Saccharomyces cerevisiae S288C: one gene and its partners. The protein of the gene in region 2 purifies or fractionates together with the protein of the main gene of each other region. This does not show direct contact. Each region holds a gene or a part of one and is shown on either strand. Other genes may lie near its edges.

Region 1 (4,396 bases), on a different chromosome or scaffold from region 2:
GTTCATCCCGTTCAAAGTCTAAACTACGTATAAAGTAGAGTTATCATCGGTTAACAAAGTACATTGTGTAGTATGTAGAAGGGCTGAAACCATCAAGAAAAGGAGGGACACGCTCATACAAAGGAGAAGTCATGAATTCTAAATGTATCTAATAAGATACGTGAATTCAGCATCACCTAGTTATTAATGACCAGCCGAACCTAAAAGTCATTGCACAAACAATGTAGAAACATAGCTAATTTTACATACTTTTATTTGCGGTCTACTTATAACCATTATGTATATCATGGGAAATAAATAATTCTCGTCTTGCCTATTACTTCAAACGGAACGTCTAGGAGCGATACTGGTAATAAGGTTTCAGTATGATTTACTGAGATGCTGGACAGTATATGTAGAGAGTTTCTCGCGCTTCTCGTAAAACAGTACTAAAATAACGACATAAAAGCTTTCGAGTACGTTAGAGATTCATCTATCTACTCTTTGAAAAATAATGTACATACGTAAAGAGAATACAAATCGAAATTCCTATAAATATGGTTCTACCTCTATTTTTTTGCGTGCTTTCTCTTACGCTTGAACCCGATTATTCTCTTTATATCATCGCCCATCTTTTTGTCATCGGGATTGGTGGGCGTCGTTGCTTCTTCTTTTTTTGGCTTCTTATTCTCGGATTCTCCGACATCTCCAGTATCTTCATTATCTGGTCTTGTTCTCTTGGTTCTTGCTTGCTTCAATTGTTCCCTTCTTCTCTTTACGACGTTAGAGTTCTCAATCGCAAATTCAACACAAAGACGTCTTCCTTTGCCTAAGTCATTGTCTACTTGTTTCTTTTCATCATCATTCAAACCCTCTAAAATTTCATCGGAGGTAACGGCATGACAATTCAACCACCTTAAGCCCATCAAAGCGTTTTTATGATCTCTGAATTCTACAAAACCGTAACCTCTACTTCTTCCCGCAGTTGATCCTTTAACTTCCATTATAACTTTTGCTTGCTTGACAACACCACTTTTTTTGTCTTTCTTTTTTTGAGCTTCAATCTCATCTGGACCCATGAACTTGTATTTTTCCTTTGTAGATCTGATAATCTCTTCTTTACTCAATGGATGTCTTTCCTTATTTTTAACTTCTGTAGCAAATTCCACGACAGCTTTACGAGCTAACGCCTTTAATGCTTTATCATTCATTGCTCTAGGAAGATTTCTGATAGCCAACCTAGTCATCGACAAATGCAAAGATGGGTTCTTTTTCAGTTGCTCCACTCTTAATTTGTAAGATTTTTCTCTGATCTCCATGTCAGTGTTGGTTAACAAATCAGCCATTTTTGAGCCTTCAACAACTCTACCTTCATTCAGCAAATATAAGTTACGTCTATCTTTTTCGCCTGGCGCTTTACCTAGGGCCTCCTTTCTTTTGGCGGCGTTCTTTTCTGCCATTCTTCCAGCATCCTCTCTTACTAACGTTGGAGTAATGGACAGAACACGACCTTCATACACATACTCAGGCATGACATCATCACCTATCAATAAAGAGGTAGAGCCAGCCGCAGGCGCATTTTTGATACACTCGTTATATGTATATTGGTCTTTGAAGGCTACAAAGGCCGTACCTTTAGCCAACCCCGTAGACTTATCGATAACAGGTAATGCGTATTTAACGCTGCCAAATTTACTGAAGTGCGGAGCCAAAGATTCTTCAGTGGCATCATAAGGGACGTTACGAACAAAAACAGAAAAATCTTCCCTTTTGTTTTGTGCTTTACGTTTCGATTCTTTGTTTTTTGAAGCTTGATCTACTTGTCTATCTTCCTCTTCATTTTCATCTTCTTCGTCGTCATGGTTTTCTTCAGCATCTTCATTTCCTGACTCGTTATCATCTTTGTCATTCATTTCTGGCTGGGCTTTTTTGTAATCTTCCCATCTGTTTTTTTGAACAGCAAAATCAACAGCCACCTTTCTACCATCAATTTTCAAGTCTTTGGTGTTTTCCAAAGCAATTCTACAATTACTGATTTTCTTCATAGTAACAAACGCAAATCCACACAATTTACCATCACGCTTCCTTGGAATGGTAGCCTCCACGACGGTACCATATCTACCAAAGATCTTTTTCAATTTAACTGGATCACGACAACTCCATGGCATATTTCTGATAATTAATTTCGGTTTACCTTTTAGCATGGAGTCTTCACCATCAGCATCGTCCTCATCTTCATTGTTCTGGCCCGTTATTTTCTCAGATGACTCAGGTGTGCTCTTTTCAACCACTTCTGATGTTTTCTTTGAACGATCTCTTCTTTTAGCAATGTCTACCCTCAAGATATGTCCGTTAAATTTGGTCTTTCTGGCCTTAGCTAGGGCTTCTTTTGTGTCATCCTCTACAGCAAAACTAACGAACCCGAAGCCCCTGGACCTTTTATTCGTGTCCTTAACAACTACCGCATGCTTGATCGGAGCAAAATTGGAAAAGAAATCTGCCAGCTGCTCATCTGTGACATCCTGGGGTATAGACCTCACAAACAAAGTCTTCATATCTAGGCCGTCGTCATTTTGTTTTGAGACATTACTAGAAGGCACTTCAACATTTTCTATTGTTTCTTCCATCTCACTTTGGTAGATTGGTAATATTGATAGCTTTTCACTAGTTCACGAAGAAATCTCACTATTTTACTAATAAAAAGATTTTGTATGTAGTATTTAATTCAGAATAAACGATGAGATGAGATAGACTCTTGAAATTTTTCAGTGAAAATTATTTTTTTTTTCCTTCGCCGTTCCATGGGTAACCCTATAGGGAGCCAACATATATAACCGCACAAACGTAATGGCAGCATTTAATTATTTGATATGCGGCTAGATATCCACAACGTCTATAAATTATGAGTTCTATATCCTGCTCATAGTTTCATTTGCTAATGCCTTTAATTCCGGCTCATTAGGTGGTATAATATTATATATCTCCTTTAAGCCTGGAATGTCTTTTTCCTTTCCTGCTAGTTGAATTGCATCACGAAAACCCCTGCACTCCACATAAAGCTTTTTCTTTTCCTGATACGAAAGGCCAGGTATCATATTAACATAAGGACTAGCTTTATCCATATGGCCTCTGCTTTTTAAGTATGTGTAGAAAGGCATGTAACCAATTGGTGATTTCCGCGACTGAGCAAACTGTAGTAGTTCGTCAAACTTCTTAGCTTCGACTAACGTTTTACATTTCAGGTGATACAGCTTTTTTTCGCTTATTTTGAACTTTTTAACTATTTCTTTCACCTGTTTATCTTGCCCTGTTTCTATTAACTTCGAAAGCGTTTGATCTAAAGTCATATTAGTGAATGATATAGCAAATCTTTTGCCTAATGATTCTTGGTATATCCACAACTTTTCCTGTCTTTGAAGTTGTTCTATTGTATTGTTGACCACTTCACTGTTTTGAACTTGGCTATAAAGGTCCTTAATTTGCGGTAAAAAGCTGTGTAAAGATTGCTGTTCTTTTCCCTGCTGCAGTAATACGTGAGCCAAGTCAATAAATCGGTCAGTTTGGCGGTAAAAATCGTACAAGTATGCTTTATCCATTCTCATATAATAGAGATATAAGGGATTGTTGAACATATCAATGATCAAAAGCTTCGTCAGTTGAGAGTTTGTCAGCTTTTTGGAAAGTGCAATCAGTAATGAAATTGTCAGACTGTAATTTTGTACTTTGATACACTCCTTTAGCGCTATACTATCATCATCAAGATTATACAGTTGCTCAATTCTAGCTTCTTCGTTTTTCTCTAATAAAGCTAAATTACGGGATAACTGGAACCTTCCTTCAAGATATGCAACTTTCGCAACTGCTACCATTTGTAATGTATCCGTCATATCTATAACACTTAGTCGAGATTTGATTTTGTCTAGTAACTCATCATCTTCCATGTCAGGACTACCCTTGATTTTATCCTTTGCCCACTCAGTAAACACGTATCCTAACAGAAATCGTTCATTGGCCAATTTGCATATCTGTATGCACTCATAATATCTGTGATACTTCAACAGCCTATCAATGACACCTTTCAAAGAAATACACCTGTATTCCTCCACAGTCAAAAAAATACCAAAACTTCTGAAGCAGTTTAATAATTTTATCGTATTACACGCATTCACAAATATACTAGCGTCAAATGACTTGTACTGCAAAGAAGCTTTTCCATAAGATGCAGCGTTCAACAACATCTTCTGTAGTTTAGGTTCAAATTCGTCTATTGCAGCAGCAATACAGTCCAGTACACCCTTCTCTAAGACAAAATTCTTTAATATTTCAATTGCTTTGGGTGCATGATCCTCCAGTAAACTAAATGAGTCAACAAGCATTGCACCAGGCTCGGTTGAGCCAATTCTAAATATATTAGAAG
Region 2 (7,662 bases):
ATTTTCCTTCAGCATGGTAATAAATTCCTTCTCTGCTTCTTCTTTAGTCCTTCTCCTGACATTAAGCAGTTTAGAGTTATTAGCATATTGGCTTTCCTCCTCGTTTATAGTTCGTCCCGGCTCTTGTTTTTCTCCAGCCGTAAGGGCTATTCTATTTCCATTAACCTGTGCATGGGATACTGTATCATGTTTTTGTTCTGCGATGGGTTCTACTTTCTTCTCGAAGGCCGGAATAGTCCAGCTGGTTTCTCTTGTTGTTGGATTATAATAGTATACTTTGCCGTCTGCCGTCTTGGCCGCCTTCCAGCCATTTTCTCGAAGAAGTAGCTCCTCCTGAGAAATTAGTTCCTTGGGCTTCTCCCACGTAGATTTCTTTGTCAAAGTATTGTAATAATATATCCTTCCACTTGCATCTTTAGCTTCCTTCCAAATAGACATAGTTTCACGTCTCCCACCTCCGGCAATGCTTGTCTAGTGGTCGATCTGGCTTCAGACCTTGTTATCCTGATAGGTAGGCACGCTATTGCGATGTCATCAACTGCCAGATTTCCAAGTACATTATTATTGTCGATAATTTCATATCGTTTACCACGTCGCCCCTTTTGTATAGCAAAATACAATTATAGAACAAAAAAAGCCTGTAAAGCCAAGCAAATAGAGGCTTTCGGAACAACTCGGTGTCACTTTGACAAAAGATAAAAGAGGAAGCAACTGATAGTAGGAAATGTCACAATCATTACGTCCGTATCTAACGGCTGTTCGTTATTCCCTGGAAGCTGCGTTGACTTTGAGCAATTTCTCTTCGCAGGAAGTGGAGAGGCACAACAGACCGGAAGTTGAAGTCCCTAACACTAGCGCCGAATTGTTGCTCCAACCGATGCATATATCTCGTAATGAAAATGAACAAGTATTGATTGAGCCCAGTGTAAACTCGGTGCGTATGAGTTTAATGGTGAAACAGGCAGATGAAATTGAGCAGATTTTAGTTCACAAGTTTACTAGATTTTTGGAACAGCGTGCTGAAGCATTCTACATTCTGAGACGTGTACCAATACCTGGCTACAGTATTTCTTTTCTAATAACTAATAAGCATACTGAATCAATGAAAACTGGGAAATTGGTTGATTTTATTATTGAATTCATGGAGGACGTGGATAAGGAAATCAGTGAAATTAAACTGTTTTTGAATGCCAGAGCAAGATTTGTTGCGGAAGCATATCTTGATGAATTTGTCTATTAGATTCCTAATATAGGAAAGGGAATCTTTCTCCGTCAGGGCCCTATTGACGGAAAACTTTACGATCTGTACTGACTGTGTTAGTTTGCGTACTCAATTGAACTATTTCGAGACTATTTAGTTAGATACAATAACATGTGTATGTGAATTAATTATAAACGTACTTTTAAATTGCAGTTACTTTGTATAATTATGGTGATTTTTTTAGTACTTAAATTATATTCATAAAAAGGGATTAAAATGTTTCTCCCGACACCTAAAATTAAACTTCAATCTGTCAATTCTAACACAAAACGTTTTCATTTTACGTAAACAAATGAAGATTGAAGATTCTAAAGCATTTATTATTACTGCCGCACTAGTATACGACCAAACTAAAATTATATGATAATAGTGCACCAACATATAGTAAACAGCTTTTACCTATGCACGACTTGCATGAGGATTTCAATATTATATCACTGTAGACGAAATATGAAAAATTTCAGCAATAAAGCTCATCGCAAAGAATAGTTCGGTTATATTCTTGATTGGATATTATTTCTCTAATCTATGCGGTACTACTTCATCTAACAGAACTAGAGGAGCACTTACATAATGAGTAATCATAGCGAAGCCTATGGATCTCGCGACCAGAGAAGGGAGAAGTACACCCAAGGGAAAGAGTTCGAAGACGGTACATTAGAAACACTAGAAAGTATAATCAGTGCAGTCGAAGATGAAACTCTCTCCAAAGATTACCAACCTCTAATAGTGTTCTTCCAAAGAGGATTTGGTGCTCAATTGGTACAGACTTGGTCATATTATGCTCAAGTAAATAACCATGGGAAATTCTCGAAAACTACCTCATTACTGACTAAAACCTTACGAGTTTTGTCATCTGATACTAGTACAGTGACTATTGGGAGCGGTCTAATTAGATTGATATTGACCGATTACACAAAAGTTCTCTATAGAGGGTTGAACAATATGCGTGCGCAATTAACTAATCCAATTCTTCGTCTACTCAAACAAATAGTCAATTTCAACAATGGGCAACATATAGAGGAATTAGTTTCATATTTCGATTTTTCATTACCTATTTTACCAAGACTGTTGGTACCAAGCAAGTCTGAGTTAGCCAATGGGAATTCATCTGCTGATTCATCCAAACATGACTCATTAAGATTTACATTTATCAAGTTTTGGTTGACATTGATCTCAAATGCTTCCCCATTCGTGAGAAAAGAACTTTTGACAGAAAACTTTAAGATTATGAGCAACCTATTTAAATTCATGAATAAGGCTGATTCTGACAAGTTATCTGAGCACATACTATCGGTATTCATAAACGACATTTTAAAGGAGAAATCCTTCAAGAGAACTACTAAAACCAAAATTTTAAATGAACTAGCGGCTTCAAAGATTCATCACTTTTATTATTCATCAAACAAGAATTTGGTTAAGAAGGCAAATGAGTTTTTCTTAACTTTTGGAGCTTCCCGTGACTTTAGCGTAGCATTTCCTGATAATTGCGTTTGGTTCAAAAATTCAGTTGCTGATGGAGCTTCTCATGGAGCTCCGATAACCGTCAACCAAGTGGAATTTCAAATTCATAATAAACTTTTGTTCAACACTTTACGCCTTTTCAAACCTTGGGAAGATACGCTGCAATTAGGTACGTTGATCAAAATATTGGAGAACGTTCCCGAACTTGTTGCTCCTTACAGCATCTTTTTAACGACGAATGGTAACTATGACCCTAAGATGACTTCGTATTGGTTTGGTATAACGTTACTGATTAACAAGATTATTAATCTTAAGATACCGCAATTTATGGAGAAAGTTGATAGCAATATTCCACCTGCCACTTCATTAGTTATAGAAAACATTCTGCCATCTTTGCTCACCAAATCCTCGTTGGTTAAATCCCTACAATTTGAAACACCCATCATAAGACAATTAGCCTGTCAATCAATAGTTCTAGCGTTAAAAAAATTAGAAAAAGTTTCCACATTTTATGATCAAAAAGGCTGGAGAAATGAAAAAACTATTTTACTCAACGAGTTTCATACTAGAATTCCTGATTTACCAATCTTCGTATCTACTTTGAGCAATTCTTTGGCTTCCAATAAGGATAATAGAATTTTACCTCTGTCCATATCCATCATATTCAACTACTATAGTAAAATGTTCCCCAACCTCTTCTCAATTAACCTACCATCATCAAATATTTACACAGATATCATGCAAAAATCCAAGATTTCTGGCATAGAATTTGCTATTCTGGACAACTACTTACAATTTCAAGAATTTAACTCTACTCAAACCAGGTGGTGGAATCCAAGTTCTGGTGGAAATTCTTTATTCACCCTACTATTAAAGCTAGCATCCTCCAAAAATGCTTCTAACGTGATAACTACAAGAATATCCAACTTGCTCGATGAGCTGACGAGAACAAACGTTATCTTCAACATATCTTTAATTTCACCAGTGATGGCTTTAGTGAATAGTCTTCAAGGGCTTTCCCTTCAAGTTTCTGAAATTGACAACATGGAACAAGTCTGGAAGTGGTTTGACGAAACTATATCTCGTGTCGTAAAAACACCATACAAGTACGTCGATATGGCAAAAGAGTATAACTACATTTCTCCCTTCATAATGTGCCTTTCAGAGCAATGGAAATACGTTGACAAGAGTGGAAACCCAGAGTTTTTAATTAAATGGCTTATACTTTTTCTTAGAAACATGATTTTCATTGGTGAAGACCATATAGGCATAGATAAACTTGTTAAAAATGTCTTTCCTGAGGTCTCTGATCATGATGTTAATATATACTTGAAACTTGACTCATTTGAAGAAAACATAAAGAAAACTAATAGCTCTAATTCTTTAATTTCTTCAATGAAGAGCTCATCTTTTTTCCAGTATATTTCGGCGCTTCCATCTAAAAATCTAATGAATATTTCTAGATTACCAGTGAACAAATTAGATGCGGCAGGAATCCTTTTTAGAGTTCAGTTATTGGTAGAAGACGATTCTGTTGTATATGACAATTGGTTCGAAGCAACTGCCTGTGAGTTAACTGGCAAGATTGCTAGCTACATGGTAACAGACACAGAATTCCCAATTATCAAAGTTTTGGAAAGGTATATAAATTTCGCTTTACCAAAACTGGCCATTGAAAAAAGAAATGCTCTACTCATGAAAAAATCAAGGTTCATGTGCAATTTAATCGGTGCAGTATGCTTTGAAACAGGCCATCAATTAGTGGAATTCCGAGAAATAATTCAAAAAGTCGTGTTTAGTGGTGAAAATGTCGAAGAGTATGCCAACTATAATGAGTTGTATCAGAAAGAAGATGTAAATGCTTTCTTAACAAGTGTTAGTGAGTATTTAAGTACTTCAGCTTTAACTTCGCTACTCATGTGTAGCACCAAACTAGAGTCCACAAGAAACATTCTCCAAAAATTATTCAACGAAGGAAAAACTATAAAAATATCCCTTGTAAAGAATATACTGAACAAAGCTGCAAATGAAGATCCTGCTTCAATTAAGGAAGTAAACATCTCTTTGGCTAAATTTTTTGAAGAAAACAAAGTTTGTGTTGATGCTTCATCTGATCCTATGGGTAAGCTATCCCTTTCAGAAACTACTTCTCTGATAAATAGTTTTGTGTCTAGTGATTTGAATTATCTAGTACTGAAAGCTTTTTACAGATGGGAACATTTTTCTTTCCCATCTTTCATACCAAGTATCTGGAGGATCAAGGATTCACCTTTACTAAGTATTGTAACAACGGCTGCTTTGTTCAAGCACATGCAGGATAAAGATTTTAGCGCATTTGCGCATGAAACCATTTCCAAGTATGGTAATGAAATTGCGAAAAGTACTTACACTACCTCGAAAAGTGAGATTTTTGACGAAATATTAAATATGATTACCACTTATATTGATTTCTATGACGAAACGAAACGAAATGAAATTTTGAAATGTGTTTTATCACAGAGCGACCATAAATATCATGCTGCTACAGTAAGATACATAGCTGCACACAATAATTTTACTTATCCAGGGGTAGAAACATGGTTACATAAAACTCTTCTTTACCTTACAAAGTACCTTTCAGAAAGAAAAGTTATCTCCAATTCTTTTTTTGAGTTACTAAGAGCGATGGCTGAGCTCTTAAAACTTGAAGAGGTACCAAATAAGTTGAATGTCAAAATCATTAATTCTCAATTAGAGGCTATTCTAGGCAGTGAGTGGATCAAACAAATTAAGGTTCTTGAATACGTTATTGTATTAATTTTTTGTGTGAGCAAAAAGTCAATTCAATCGCAAAGAATGGTTCAACTTTTATTAAGCAATGACAGTTACTCATCAATAATGATTAAAGACAATGATGAAGATTCATCGTATCGAAAGTTCTTAAGCACAATGATATTATTCTCTTTATTCAGCATCGACCCGGTCGTAAATTCGACGCCAATAGTTCAAGAGAAATTATTGACTTTTTACTCCGGTACTATTTCCAGTAACGACAAGTTGATACTGAAAATTCTAGAAACTATCGAATCTCACACCGCTACTTCATGGACAAACATGATTTTTTCTTGGGAATTTATCAAAGACGAAGAGGAAGAAATCTTGGAAGCCATTGGAGACACGAGGCTGATTACCAAAGAAAGGGAGGGGTTGATACTAACACTACAAAAAAACATGATCAAAAAGTCCATTGACAGATACGTATTGGAAAGGCCTCAAGTCCCTGAATTATATACCGATTCTAATACAAACAATTATGATGCTACTACAAGGTGTGACCTAGTCAAAAAGTACTACGATGATACCGAACGATCTGGTGTTGATATGTACGATCCATTATTTTTACTGCTATTAATAATCCATAACAAAGAGCTGGTAAAAATGGTCAAAGATGACGAGGGCAATGTAACATACAGATATGAATTTGAAAATTTCCTTGATTGCAAAATATTTCAGTTTATTATTTGCTCATTAAGCGATTGTCATACCGTTGCCAATATAAGTTACGAACATTTATCAAATTTAGCTTCTTCTTTGGAGAAGAAAACTGCCCAGATGAATCTTGAAAAGCAAATAACTAGCAAGGATAATGAAAGAAAAGAATCTGATAGCGATTTAATCAAATATAATAGCATTTACCAAGTGTTGATTAAAAGGATTTTATACCAGAGACAACAAAATCAAGATCCTATCAATCCGTTAATTTGGTTTTCTATCTCTAGAATTGTTGATCTATTGGGAAGTCCAACTGCGCCCTTACATGAGAAGGCATACCGCTGGGTATTATCAAATTCTACCATACGTAGTTGGGACATCCCTATGGTATCTGATGTGATGATGTCCTACAATAAGAGACAACAAGATGACAATAAGAAAGAAATTGATATGGAAATATACTATGGAGAATTGAGTTGGGTTTTAACAACCATTTGTAAGGGAATTAAAACGGATGAAGATTACAAGATGTTAGAGAAGAAAGGTGTATTTGAATGGTTGTTAAACTTGATCAATATGCCATACTTGAAAGAAAGATTACGCGAACTAATCTATTTTATTTTTTACAAAGTCCAAAGGGTAGCAGATGATGGTGGTTTGAATTTAATTAGCAGAAACGGTATTGTGTCGTTTTTCGAGGTTTTGAACAATAACATCAAATCTAGACTACCACAGGACGATATACTGAACAACATTGGTACTTTACGGAACGAAAACAGAGGTACATTAAATACTACTTTGAGGTTAGCCCAAGAACAAAACGGAATTGAAAAACTACTATTAGGCTACAACGAGCTTGTCAAATCACAAAAAAGGCTAATATTATGGACAGAAGGTGATAGCGACAATGTTGTCAAGAGGCTACGTAAATGAGCTGTCTTGTGATAGATATTTTAAATAAGATTTGAAGAATTAAATGTCCACTTTTCTATATAATGTGCGAAATGTATAATATATGCATAAGAAAACAAAGAAATCAGTATTTTCTTCTTTGTCTTTGTAATGGTGTTATGGTCCTAAATAATCAGTAAAGTCAATTTCACTACCAGCAGCTGCAGTTGGATCCATAGTATTTCCCAGCCACATTGCTTGATCAGTGATTTCCTTCCAAAGTTTTTCATCGGAATGATCAATATTGCCTAAATCCTCCAACAATTGTTGTAAATCGTCATCATTTAGATTATGAACGGAATCCAACTGATCCATGTTTTTTTCCATCACCTGAGAGCCCTTTTCAGTTAGCGTGGTTTGGTATGAATTTTCCAAGCTCGCAGTTATGATATCAAAAAAAGTAGAAGGTTCCGAGTTATTGACGTTAATATCATTAACATCATTATTACCATTACTATAATCAGTCAGCGTTGGTTTCGCGCCTTCCGGAAGTATGCTAACAATGTTCGATATAG
Region 3 (5,586 bases), on a different chromosome or scaffold from region 2:
CTGTTGCTAGCCAGTGATGACTTGAAGAGCGCATTCGTTATTCGTACAACGAACTTATTGGTACTCATAATTAAAAAATCTTTCACAGAATATTAATCAAGTATTCACAAATTTGTTTTGCTTACTGCAATTAGCTAACAGAAAATTGTCGCTACAAATGTGCCTATATAAACAAAATGGTTAAAAATGAGTTCTGGATTATTTATTTCTAATAGGAGTCACGTGGTTCCATCGTTTTTAGTTTCGTCTCACGATGTCAGCAATCTCGGCGATTTCAACTGACATAGTTGTAGCTAAAATCCGTTTCTATTTCCGCATTACTCTTTTTCCGTTTACTCCCGCTCTAATAATGTTGAAAAGCGGACATAAGTAGAGTTATCAGCAAAACTCTGATATGCGTCTTTCGCTTCAAGGTTTCGTATTGGACCGTTTTTTATTGTACAAAATTCTGTTTTCCTTATTTAATTTACAACACCGAAGTGTTTAGTTAATGTATTATTATTTTCTAGTCTGAATCTTGATCTAAATATTGAGCATAATCGTCGGCAGATGCAAATACCGGTAGACTTTTGAGCATATTCTTTCTCTGCTTCTTCTTTGCTCTTTTTGCGGATACCTCTTTATTTTCTTCTTCTTCTTTTTCTTCTTCGCTGCTCTCGTCCTCTTCACTACTTTCAGCGAAGGAACGTTTTTTATCACTATTGTCTTGTTCTCCATCGAAACTGTAAAAAATATCCTCATCGAGGCCTTCTTCTTGATCGCTTTCTTGGCTGCCTTCACTTTTAGCATCTTCATCATCAATTGCGTCCAGCTTAGGTTCATCGTCACTAGTTGAATCGCTGAAATCATCTTCAGCGAAGTCAAGTTCACTGTCGTCGCTATCATCTTCAACATCTGGTCTCGATTTAACCAAAGCACTCCAAATTTCATTTTCATCCATTTCGTCATCACTATCGAAATTAGATGCTTTGTTAGATTTCTTTCCTTTTCCATCAGCGGTTTTCTTGGTAGTGAAATATTGATAAAAGAATTTATCTTCAGGTTTGATATCTTCAACTTTTTTAGTTAGCCAGTCTTCAGTGTTCACGGGACCCTGGTCATGCATAATATCAGATGCCTTAACTAAGACAGAGTCATTAACTCGTGAGCCACTAAACAGAGGTTGCATAATAGATGTACCTCTTGCTGTATTGGTCTGCTTGGCACTTCTGTAGACAAATCTGTCAAGGAAGTGTGATAGAGTAAATAGACCCAGGTCTGGTTTAGCTATTTGCTCTGTTTCTCCTGTCACATAGGCGTTTGCATATGTTTTCACAGTAGGATGAAAATGATTGATGAAGTTGTTGATTTCCCATAAAGAAGATTTTTCAGCATTGGCGAACTTTGGATCACGCTTGCGGCCGTCGTATTCCTTCCTTTTTATGTCCTTGTCCCCTTGCTCCTCTTCTGCATCAGATTCATACTCGTAATCAACTGGCGTGTTGGTTAGAAGATTTTTTATTTGTGGAACTGTTTTAGCCAACTGGATTAATAAGAAGAAAAAACCAGTAATGGTGCCGACGTTCAACCAATGAGAACAAACTTGAAGAATTCTCTTGACAAAGGCTTCTACTCGTTCAACGTTGAGTGCATCTTGTTTTAATGATTTGTATAGTAAATTCAAGTAAATACCCTGCTTAGAAGAGTTCACCAGTCTGGGGTCAAATAAACTTTCGTATAATGTTCTATAATATCGATCACTGTTCAACTTTGCTTTGACGGTGACTTGATTAATCAAAACTAATGCTTGGATTGAGGTGTTAAAGTTAGAGGAGTGTGTGATTTTGAAAAGAGTTTCCATATGTACTTCATAGACAGACGCTGGAATCTGAGCGAATGGGAATGCACGATTGATACCTGTTAACAAAGCACTGAATAATTTTGAGTTCTTTTCATCTAAAACTTCATTTTCCGTTTTTTCGATTTTTACAGATTTACCACCGTGTTTACCCTTTTTAAAGTTCTTCTTTCTTTTCTCCTCATACGACTTTGAGTTACTCTTAACAACGCCATTGGTATTGTCTTTATCAGTATTAATCAAGAATTTTTCAAACAAAGTGAAGTATGTTTTTACTAATTTATTAGCAACAGAGTCTTCTGATCTTTTTAAGATGGTTTGGTTTAAAGTAATAACAGAATAGTAAGTGGTATGATAATCCGCATTCGGTCTCAATGCGATATCAACGATAGCATCAATGACAATAGATTTCATATTCGGATGAGCTTGTTCCAACTTCAGTAGTAAATATGACGCCTTCGAAGAAACTTTGGAATCAATATCACCAATTTTATTTACACCTAATCTCAATAAATTAAATTCCTGCTCTGGTTGGTTGGTCAATAAATCAAATACATGATTTAATATTTGTAATCTAACGTGAATAATTGGATCGTGGGAAAGCACTTCCAAGACTTCTAAAACACGAAAGAACAGTTTCTTTAAATAATCTTCGAAATAGAAAATTGCAAGAGTTTTCTTGTTTAGCATCATAGATAAGCCAGGTTGATTTTTGAAATACCTCAGCTTTCTGTTGGGCAAAAGACCATTTAAGAATAAATCCTTCAAAGCGTTTAAACTCTGTAAAGCAGAGTTTCTCGATTTTTTGCCACAATATGAAACCAGAGTTTCTAAAGACTTAGTGTTATGCAATGGCGAATCTTGAATGAGTAAAGTTACGGCAGATATTTTATCGTTGAGGGTACCGTCCGATAGGATTTGGGACATGAACTTGGCCTGCGATGAGTCCTTTGTAAACTCCTCATAGTAAGTTTGGTTGTCAGCTTCTAGCGTTTGCTTACCTCTTTCAAAAAGTTTCTCAATCTGTTCCTTGGATAATTCTTCAACATCATCATTTTGTCCAACTTGAGGATCCAATGGAATTTCATACCATGGTTTATCGTAAGGAATAATAAGTTTGTCAGATGAGATAATAGTAGTTTGAGTAATTAAACCTCCATCTTTCTCCTCTTTCTTTTCTTTCTCTGCAGATTCTGATTCTGGCTCTTGGTCTGAACTAAGATTAGCCTCTTCTACTGTGTTTTCTTCTTGTTCACTGCCATTATCGATTGACTCTTGGGAGGTTTTCTCTATTGTCGATGATGCAATGTTTGATTGTGCATGTTCCTTCTCTTGAGCGGGTATTTTAGATTCTTTGGAGCTAGTGGATTCTTCTTCTATATCGTCATCGTCTACATCTTCGAGTTTGTGTTGGTCAAATCCTACATTCTTCATGAAATTTTGAAGATCGTTCTTGAATCCCTTGTCGTCAGCATCCTCGTCAGCGACGGCATCAAATTCCTGTTCGCTCTTAGCGTCATCATCATCGCTTAATCCTTGAATCAATTTTAGATCTTCTTCGCTGGCACCCAATGCTAGTGCTTCACGACGTATGTCCTCATTTACCTTCTTTGAATTACTACTGGCCTTCACGTCCTTGCCTTTGTGGGTTTTCTTCGCCTTTTTGCTGTTATTGTCTCGCAATTTTGACGAAATCTTATTTCTTAGTGAAGACAAATCCAGCGGATTGCCGTTGTTCTCACTCATTATTTTTGATTACTGTACCAACAAAGACACTGGAGAGGTTTAATATCTATAGAAATTTATCAAACTATAGAATTTCGCTTCCGATGTGTACGACATAATGCTTTCTTATTCGCAACTCCATTACTTTGGCATCTCTGATAATTTTTTACCTCATCGCCAAAAGAAAAAATTTTTCATTCTGCAACGGGTAACGGAATACAGAGGCAAGAGAACGGAAGAACATCATATCGGCGGTTATTACTAAACAGTATATGTCCAATCGGTTTTGGAAATGAGATTTTCTTATTAATGATCTGATCTTAGATTATGTTGGGCAATACGCGTTATACAAAAGATCTGCTATTGCATGTGGTGAAAGTTATACCAACATTTTTGCTTATATGAAATCATCTGCAACAACCAATTGGATAAGGATAGATTTCTCAAATATATTAAATTATGTCTTGGTTTACTTACACAGAAAGTCCCAAAGTACAGATGAATTATACTAGGGTTGTGTTCATTGTTCCATGAGAGGCTGTACTTTTTGCCTACTTATTTTGGTACTCATTCATTAGGCTCATAAACCGATTTTTCTTATATTGTGCGTAATTCAATTAGATATCTAGATGTATTGCTAGTGCTAGTACGGTGTAAACTCTCGTAGCAAGCGCTTTTGAAGCATGGCTGTGGTGGAGGTAGTTGCCACTGCGAGCGGGTAATAAAGCGGCTGCCGCCTTACTCATTTGTACCAAAGATAGCCGACCCAAAATTATAAAAAATAATTGTATCCCGGATTTTAATAGATGGTTGGAGTTTTATTTTCCAAGGTCAGGACTGCTTATTGACTACCATCTTGAAAAGTCATTTTCTGCTCACCACCCTCAACTAAACTAAAAATGTCTTCCTCCAAGCGTATTGCCAAGGAATTAAGTGATTTAGGGAGGTATGTTAAAAATAAAATGAATGATTTTTCTTGATCTGTAAAGAAAAAGGATTACTAACATGAGTTTCTTTTTTGAACTTTTTTCCGAAGAGATCCTCCTGCTTCATGTTCAGCAGGACCTGTAGGGGATGACCTGTATCATTGGCAAGCCTCTATTATGGGTCCTTCAGACTCACCCTACGCTGGTGGCGTTTTCTTTTTGTCTATTCACTTTCCAACTGATTATCCATTCAAGCCACCGAAGGTAAACTTTACGACCAAAATTTATCATCCGAATATTAATTCGAGTGGTAATATCTGCCTTGATATTTTAAAGGACCAGTGGTCACCGGCGCTAACCCTTTCAAAAGTTTTGTTGTCTATTTGCTCTCTTTTAACAGATGCTAATCCCGACGATCCTTTGGTCCCTGAAATTGCTCAAATCTACAAGACAGATAAGGCTAAGTATGAAGCCACCGCTAAGGAGTGGACTAAAAAATATGCTGTTTGATTAATTTGGGCTAACGGATAAATTGTGTAGACTTACCTTCCTCAGCGCACACATCAATATATTATATATTCTTTACGTATACAAACACGCAAATTCTTATAGGTATAGCGATATTAGTTTGATCAATTCCCATCACGTACCTTGCTTTCTATTATTTACTCTTTCTCCTGTACCTGCTACTATCAATTAAAAAAAATTCTCCGCGACGGGGAATTGAACCCCGATCTGGCACGCGACAAGCGCCCATTCTGACCATTAAACTATCACGGAAGAAACAAAGCACTCACGATGGGGGTCGAACCCATAATCTTCTGATTAGAAGTCAGACGCGTTGCCATTACGCCACGCGAGCTACTATTTGTCGGAAAAACATTCTGATTCATCTAGCTAAATGATTGTTTAAAATATGCTAAATTTCTCACCAACCTTTTCTCATAATGAGCCTAATATGAACCGCTATTGAAAATATGTACAAGGAAGAATATAGAGAATAAAGCGTCTTGTTTTAAAGGAGGAAAAGCATAAAAAAAATGAAAAATGATAATAAAGCTAATGATATAATAATAGACTCCGTCAAAGTTCCTGATT
Region 4 (4,589 bases), on a different chromosome or scaffold from region 2:
CGCTGAACCAGAAGCCAAGGACAAGTCGTTTGCTATTGACAAAGCTACCGGCCAAGAAATGGACGTTGTCTCCGAAGAACCTTTAATTGAATGGCTAGCAGCTAACTACAAAAACTTCGGTGCTACCTTGGAATTCATCACAGACAAATCTTCAGAAGGTGCCCAATTTGTCACAGGTTTTGGTGGTATTGGTGCCATGCTGCGTTACAAAGTTAATTTTGAACAACTAGTTGATGAATCTGAGGATGAATATTATGACGAAGATGAAGGATCCGACTATGATTTCATTTAAATAAATAAAAGGGGGAGAAAAAAATCGAATCAAAAAGAATTTAATCACTAGATGCCAGATTTAAATTAAATTCGCTTTTAATTTTTTGTACAATATAATATATACTTGGTAAACCTTTTGCTCTATATTGAGCTAATTCCTTTGTTGAAAGTACATAGTGGGTTTAGAGGACCGTGTATATTACGTAGAAAATACAGTGAAAGGAGAGTTTCTCTTCAAAAGCCTCGAGATTAATTATTTCTCTTTTTCTTTTTCTTCAAAGTTTCTAAGGCGTTTGTCTTTTCATGACCAATGATAGAATTATGACCTCTTTTTTTGACCAAGTTATCAGCTAAATTCACTAGCCCACCTGTCAAATATTTCTGTCTTCTATCTTTACGTATAGGCACTGATAACAATTCGTTCAACGTAGCTCTCATGGCTTTTACCTTGTCCTTATTTATAGTCTTCTGCATTTTTTTATTTTTATTTTTTAGTAAGAAAGTGTCCGAATTACTCTTTGATATATCGTCTTCGTCGGAATCAACGTCAATACCTAATTCATCAGCAGCCTTTTTTAACCAATTGTCATCTTTTCTTAGGGAATTAGAAGCAATTTCATGATCAGCCAGTTCGCCTGCTAATCTACTTCTTTCTCTGAGTTGTGAAAGTATATCGGTTTCAATTGGTAACAAAGGCACAGTGTTTTGCCACTTGATGGGTTTTCTGTTAGTTGATCTAGAGTTCAAATCCGTCGAAACACTATTTTTTGTAGCGAGAGTTTTTCTTAACTTTCTTAATGGGCCCATAGATTCTTGAGGTGAGCATATCATGGCAGAGACACCTTCAGAACCTGCTCTTGCAGTTCTGCCTGATCTATGAATATAAATATCAGTAGATCTTGGTAAGTGGTAATGAATAACGTGTTGAACACCCGGAATATCTAAACCTCTAGCAGCAACATCACTTGCAATCAATACTGTTGAGAGTTGAACGGAATCCGGATTCGAATGATTTATTGTTTTCTGTTTAGCGCTTTGTTGCTTGAACCTTTCTAAGCTTTTCAAACGGTTCTTTTGTGTCATGGAAGAATGAATTTGAAAAGCTGGGATGCCTAGGTTATTTAAGTATACGGTCAATTTCTTCACGGAGTCAATGGCATTACAAAAGATCAAAGTTGTACCTGGGAACATGGTTAAAAAGTAATAGCAGTATAGGTCACGTTCTAATGGAGGACATTCAATTAAGGATTCTTTGATTTGAGAGCTCACTTTTGACTCAGGATTTGTATCTATTATAACCGGCTTTGAGTTGAAGTGAATTTTGCTCATTAAGTGTTGTATTACGGCATTTAGCTCATCTTCGTTGTTTTTAAACCTTCTATCCTTAACTTGACGGGAAGAAGATAGCTTATCAAACAAGTCGATGGAGAATGTTGCAGAAAAGATCAAAGTTTGCCAAATTTTGCTACTGCCCTCGGAGTTTTCTCTGTTTTTCCTTCTTTCTACTAATAAATGTTTAATGATTTTTTCGAACTCGTCGAAATGACCGTCTTGTAACAGCCTATCAGCCTCATCAAGGATTAGCGTATTTACTTTCGAGAATCTTTTGATTAAAGTGTTGTCTTTTTCCAACAGTTCCAAAAATCTACCTGGTGTTGCGATGACAATTTGGCCACTATTATCGTACTTTAATAGACGTTGTTGTTTTTGGATAGAGAGTCCACCTGTCAAAGATAATATCGAGTACTGAGATTTCGCTAGAACAGGCTCACAGATCTTTTTTAAGTGGTCTGTGACTTGATGCGCCAGTTCTCTTGTAGGAGTAAAGATTAACGATATTGGTTTCTTGTTTTTCTGAGAGAAGTTACTGATCAGTTTCTCTACAATTGGAATACCATAGGCTAAAGTTTTACCTGAACCTGTAGAGGCTTTCCCCATGACGTCTACGCCTTGCATAATAACTGGAATAGACTTTTTTTGAATTTCTGTAGGTCTGAGAAAATTTAAATTCTGCAAGCTCTGCAAAATAGTCATTGAGAGAGGTGCAAGATTCGTCCATTCAGGTAAATTTACAGGAGAAATATCATCGATATTAATGTCTTTGTTAAAGACGTTTTCTTTCAAAACATCCTCATCCACATCCTCATCCACATCCTCACTGGGATCGGTTAACTTTGAACTCTCAATATTACCTTGCTCATCCTCGTCGGATGATGAATAAGATGCTGCACTCAACTCTCCTTCTTTAATATCGTCCAAGTTCTTGAATTCAAGGAGCTCGGACTCCGAATCTGACCCTGATTCATTTTCCACAGATTCCTGATCATCTCCGACTTTTTCCTTATTGCTATCTTTTAACACTTTTGAATCTTTTTTGGTGACGAAAGTTACTTTACCATCCACGACTTTAACGTCCACTCCGTCAATTTCTTCCAAGCCATAAAATCCACCAAAGTCATCTAAAGTGTCCGGAATATCTACTGGTTTCCAGTTCAATTTGGATTCATCTACAATTATCTCCTGTGGCTTTGTGACCGTTTTTCCTTTTTGAGGAGCCCTTTTCTTACCCATGATGGAAAAACTGATTATGCCGGTATTTGACTAAAGAATTTCTACCTGAGGTTATGATGATAATGATGGGCAGGTTGGCGAATATAACTTTTTTAGATGGAAATTCTTATAAGCTCATCGCTGGAAAAGTTTTTCAGAGAAAAAGAAAAGTACGGACTAACTAACCTTGAGGCGGGTTTGTGAGGTGAAAAAAAATATAACAATTATAATATCGATGAGCTAGCCATGACCTTGATGGCAATCTTGTATCAGCTTAGCGATACCACTAATACAGCGGAATGCATTCAAGAAAGTCGAAGAGTATTACGGGCAAGAGGAAGCAAGTAGGAAGTAACGTGACGAGAGTAATCAAGCCACAGAAGACAAGAAGGATAATAAGAAGATTCCACCATTTAATTAATAAGCGTCAATCGATATGCAAGTTTTTATGCCTTAAGGAAAACCTAGATGATTCCAACGAGGAGAAGAATGACAAAATTATCAGGTTAAGTATTAAAGGTAATGTAAGACTGGGCAAGTACTATGAAGACGGCAAATCGCAGTCCTTCAATGATGCTATGGAATCACAACTACTGAGGCTGCACTCATTAATTAAAAATGAATCCAAATCAAAGGATACTTCTGACTTGGCTGTGATGTACACATTACTTGGTTACATAATGAATCAGATTAATAAATTGGGAGGACTAGAAACTTACCAAATTGCCAGTCAAAACGGGCAATTGAAGGAACGAGGAGGAGACACGTCCAAGTTGCTCGAGAAATGGATCAGGTCCTCATTTGAAAATTGTCCTGGAGCAGTGGCATTAGAAATTGGTTCATTGAGCTCCGGAAATCGCATATCCCGTTGTGCACTTTTTAGAAATGTGGTTCGTATAGATTTAGAGGAACATGAAGGCGTTATTAAGCAGGATTTTATGGAAAGACCGCTACCGAGAAATGAAAACGACAAATTCGACCTGATATCATGCTCTCTAGTGCTAAATTTTGTCAAAAATCACAGGGATCGCGGTGCAATGTGCCATCGCATGGTCAAATTTCTCAAGCCGCAAGGCTACATCTTTATTGTTCTGCCACAAGCCTGTGTGACGCACTCAAGATACTGCGACAAAACACTGTTACAAAACCTCCTCGGCTCTATCGGGCTCATAATGCTTAATAGCCATCAAAGTAATAAGTTGTACTATTGTTTGTATCAATTGCAGGTAGTTCCACCGCAGCCGAGTAGCTTTTCCAAAAGAATCAAGGTTAACGACGGCCCTGGGTTGAACAATTTTGGTATTACCCTCTAAGCGAGCCGACACCGCCTGGAAGTTTTTCATAAAGGGATACAATATAGAAAGATGTGTAAAAACGTTAAGTAAAAGATGAGCAAATGAACAGTGTTCGAAGGAGAATAACAAGAGTTACTGCTCATATAAAACTAATATACTAAAGGTTTTCGCTTTGTATTACGATTGAAACAATTAACTGTTTTTTTTTTTTCCGCTTATTACACAGTACCGGTTTCATTTACGCCTTTGATCATTTTATTGGCATTGGGCTCATAGTAGTTTTCAGCGCGTGGTTAAGCTATTTAACGAAAGCGTATAAAGTCAAGTGATCATCTTTTGCCCTGCAAATAGAGCTTCAAACTTAACATTCTTCTTCAGCATATAACATACAACAAGATTAAGGCTCTTTCTAAAATGAATCAAAGCGATCCGCAAGACAAAAAAAATTTCCCAATGGAATACTCTTTGACC

What was found.
Region 1: the proteins of URB1 (region 2) and NOP4 purify together in Saccharomyces cerevisiae (affinity purification with mass spectrometry; 3 studies listed by BioGRID). This does not show direct contact.
Region 3: the proteins of URB1 (region 2) and MAK21 purify together in Saccharomyces cerevisiae (affinity purification with mass spectrometry; 3 studies listed by BioGRID, with this or other methods). This does not show direct contact.
Region 4: the proteins of URB1 (region 2) and MAK5 purify together in Saccharomyces cerevisiae (affinity purification with mass spectrometry; 4 studies listed by BioGRID). This does not show direct contact.

What each region holds. Positions count from the first base shown.
Region 1 is NC_001148.4:468,149-472,544, reverse strand, and holds NOP4 (mRNA-binding ribosome biosynthesis protein NOP4), read right to left. Parts: upstream 2,607-4,396; coding exon 549-2,606; downstream 1-548. Other genes in the region: tethering complex subunit VPS16, read right to left, coding at 2,889-4,396. UniProt on the Saccharomyces cerevisiae protein: Required for 60S ribosomal subunit synthesis. Probably involved in the processing of 27S rRNA to produce mature 25S rRNA.
Region 2 is NC_001143.9:411,086-418,747, reverse strand, and holds URB1 (Urb1p), read left to right. Parts: upstream 1-1,834; coding exon 1,835-7,129; downstream 7,130-7,662. Other genes in the region: snoRNA-splicing protein PRP40, read right to left, coding at 1-438; ARC19 (Arc19p), read left to right, coding at 725-1,240; PUT3 (Put3p), read right to left, coding at 7,265-7,662. UniProt on the Saccharomyces cerevisiae protein: Required for 60S ribosomal subunit formation and pre-rRNA processing. Required for normal accumulation of 25S and 5.8S rRNAs.
Region 3 is NC_001136.10:568,646-574,231, reverse strand, and holds MAK21 (RNA-binding ribosome biosynthesis protein MAK21), read right to left. Parts: upstream 3,584-5,586; coding exon 506-3,583; downstream 1-505. Other genes in the region: YDR061W (uncharacterized protein), read right to left, coding at 1-68; E2 ubiquitin-conjugating protein UBC5, read left to right, coding at 4,462-4,508, 4,599-4,998; TGL2 (triglyceride lipase), read left to right, coding at 5,529-5,586.
Region 4 is NC_001134.8:526,572-531,160, reverse strand, and holds MAK5 (ATP-dependent RNA helicase), read right to left. Parts: upstream 2,845-4,589; coding exon 523-2,844; downstream 1-522. Other genes in the region: SUP45 (translation termination factor eRF1), read left to right, coding at 1-292; BMT2 (25S rRNA (adenine2142-N1)-methyltransferase), read left to right, coding at 3,123-4,136; GTPase-activating protein IRA1, read left to right, coding at 4,533-4,589. UniProt on the Saccharomyces cerevisiae protein: ATP-binding RNA helicase involved in the biogenesis of 60S ribosomal subunits and is required for the normal formation of 25S and 5.8S rRNAs. Required for the maintenance of dsRNA killer plasmid.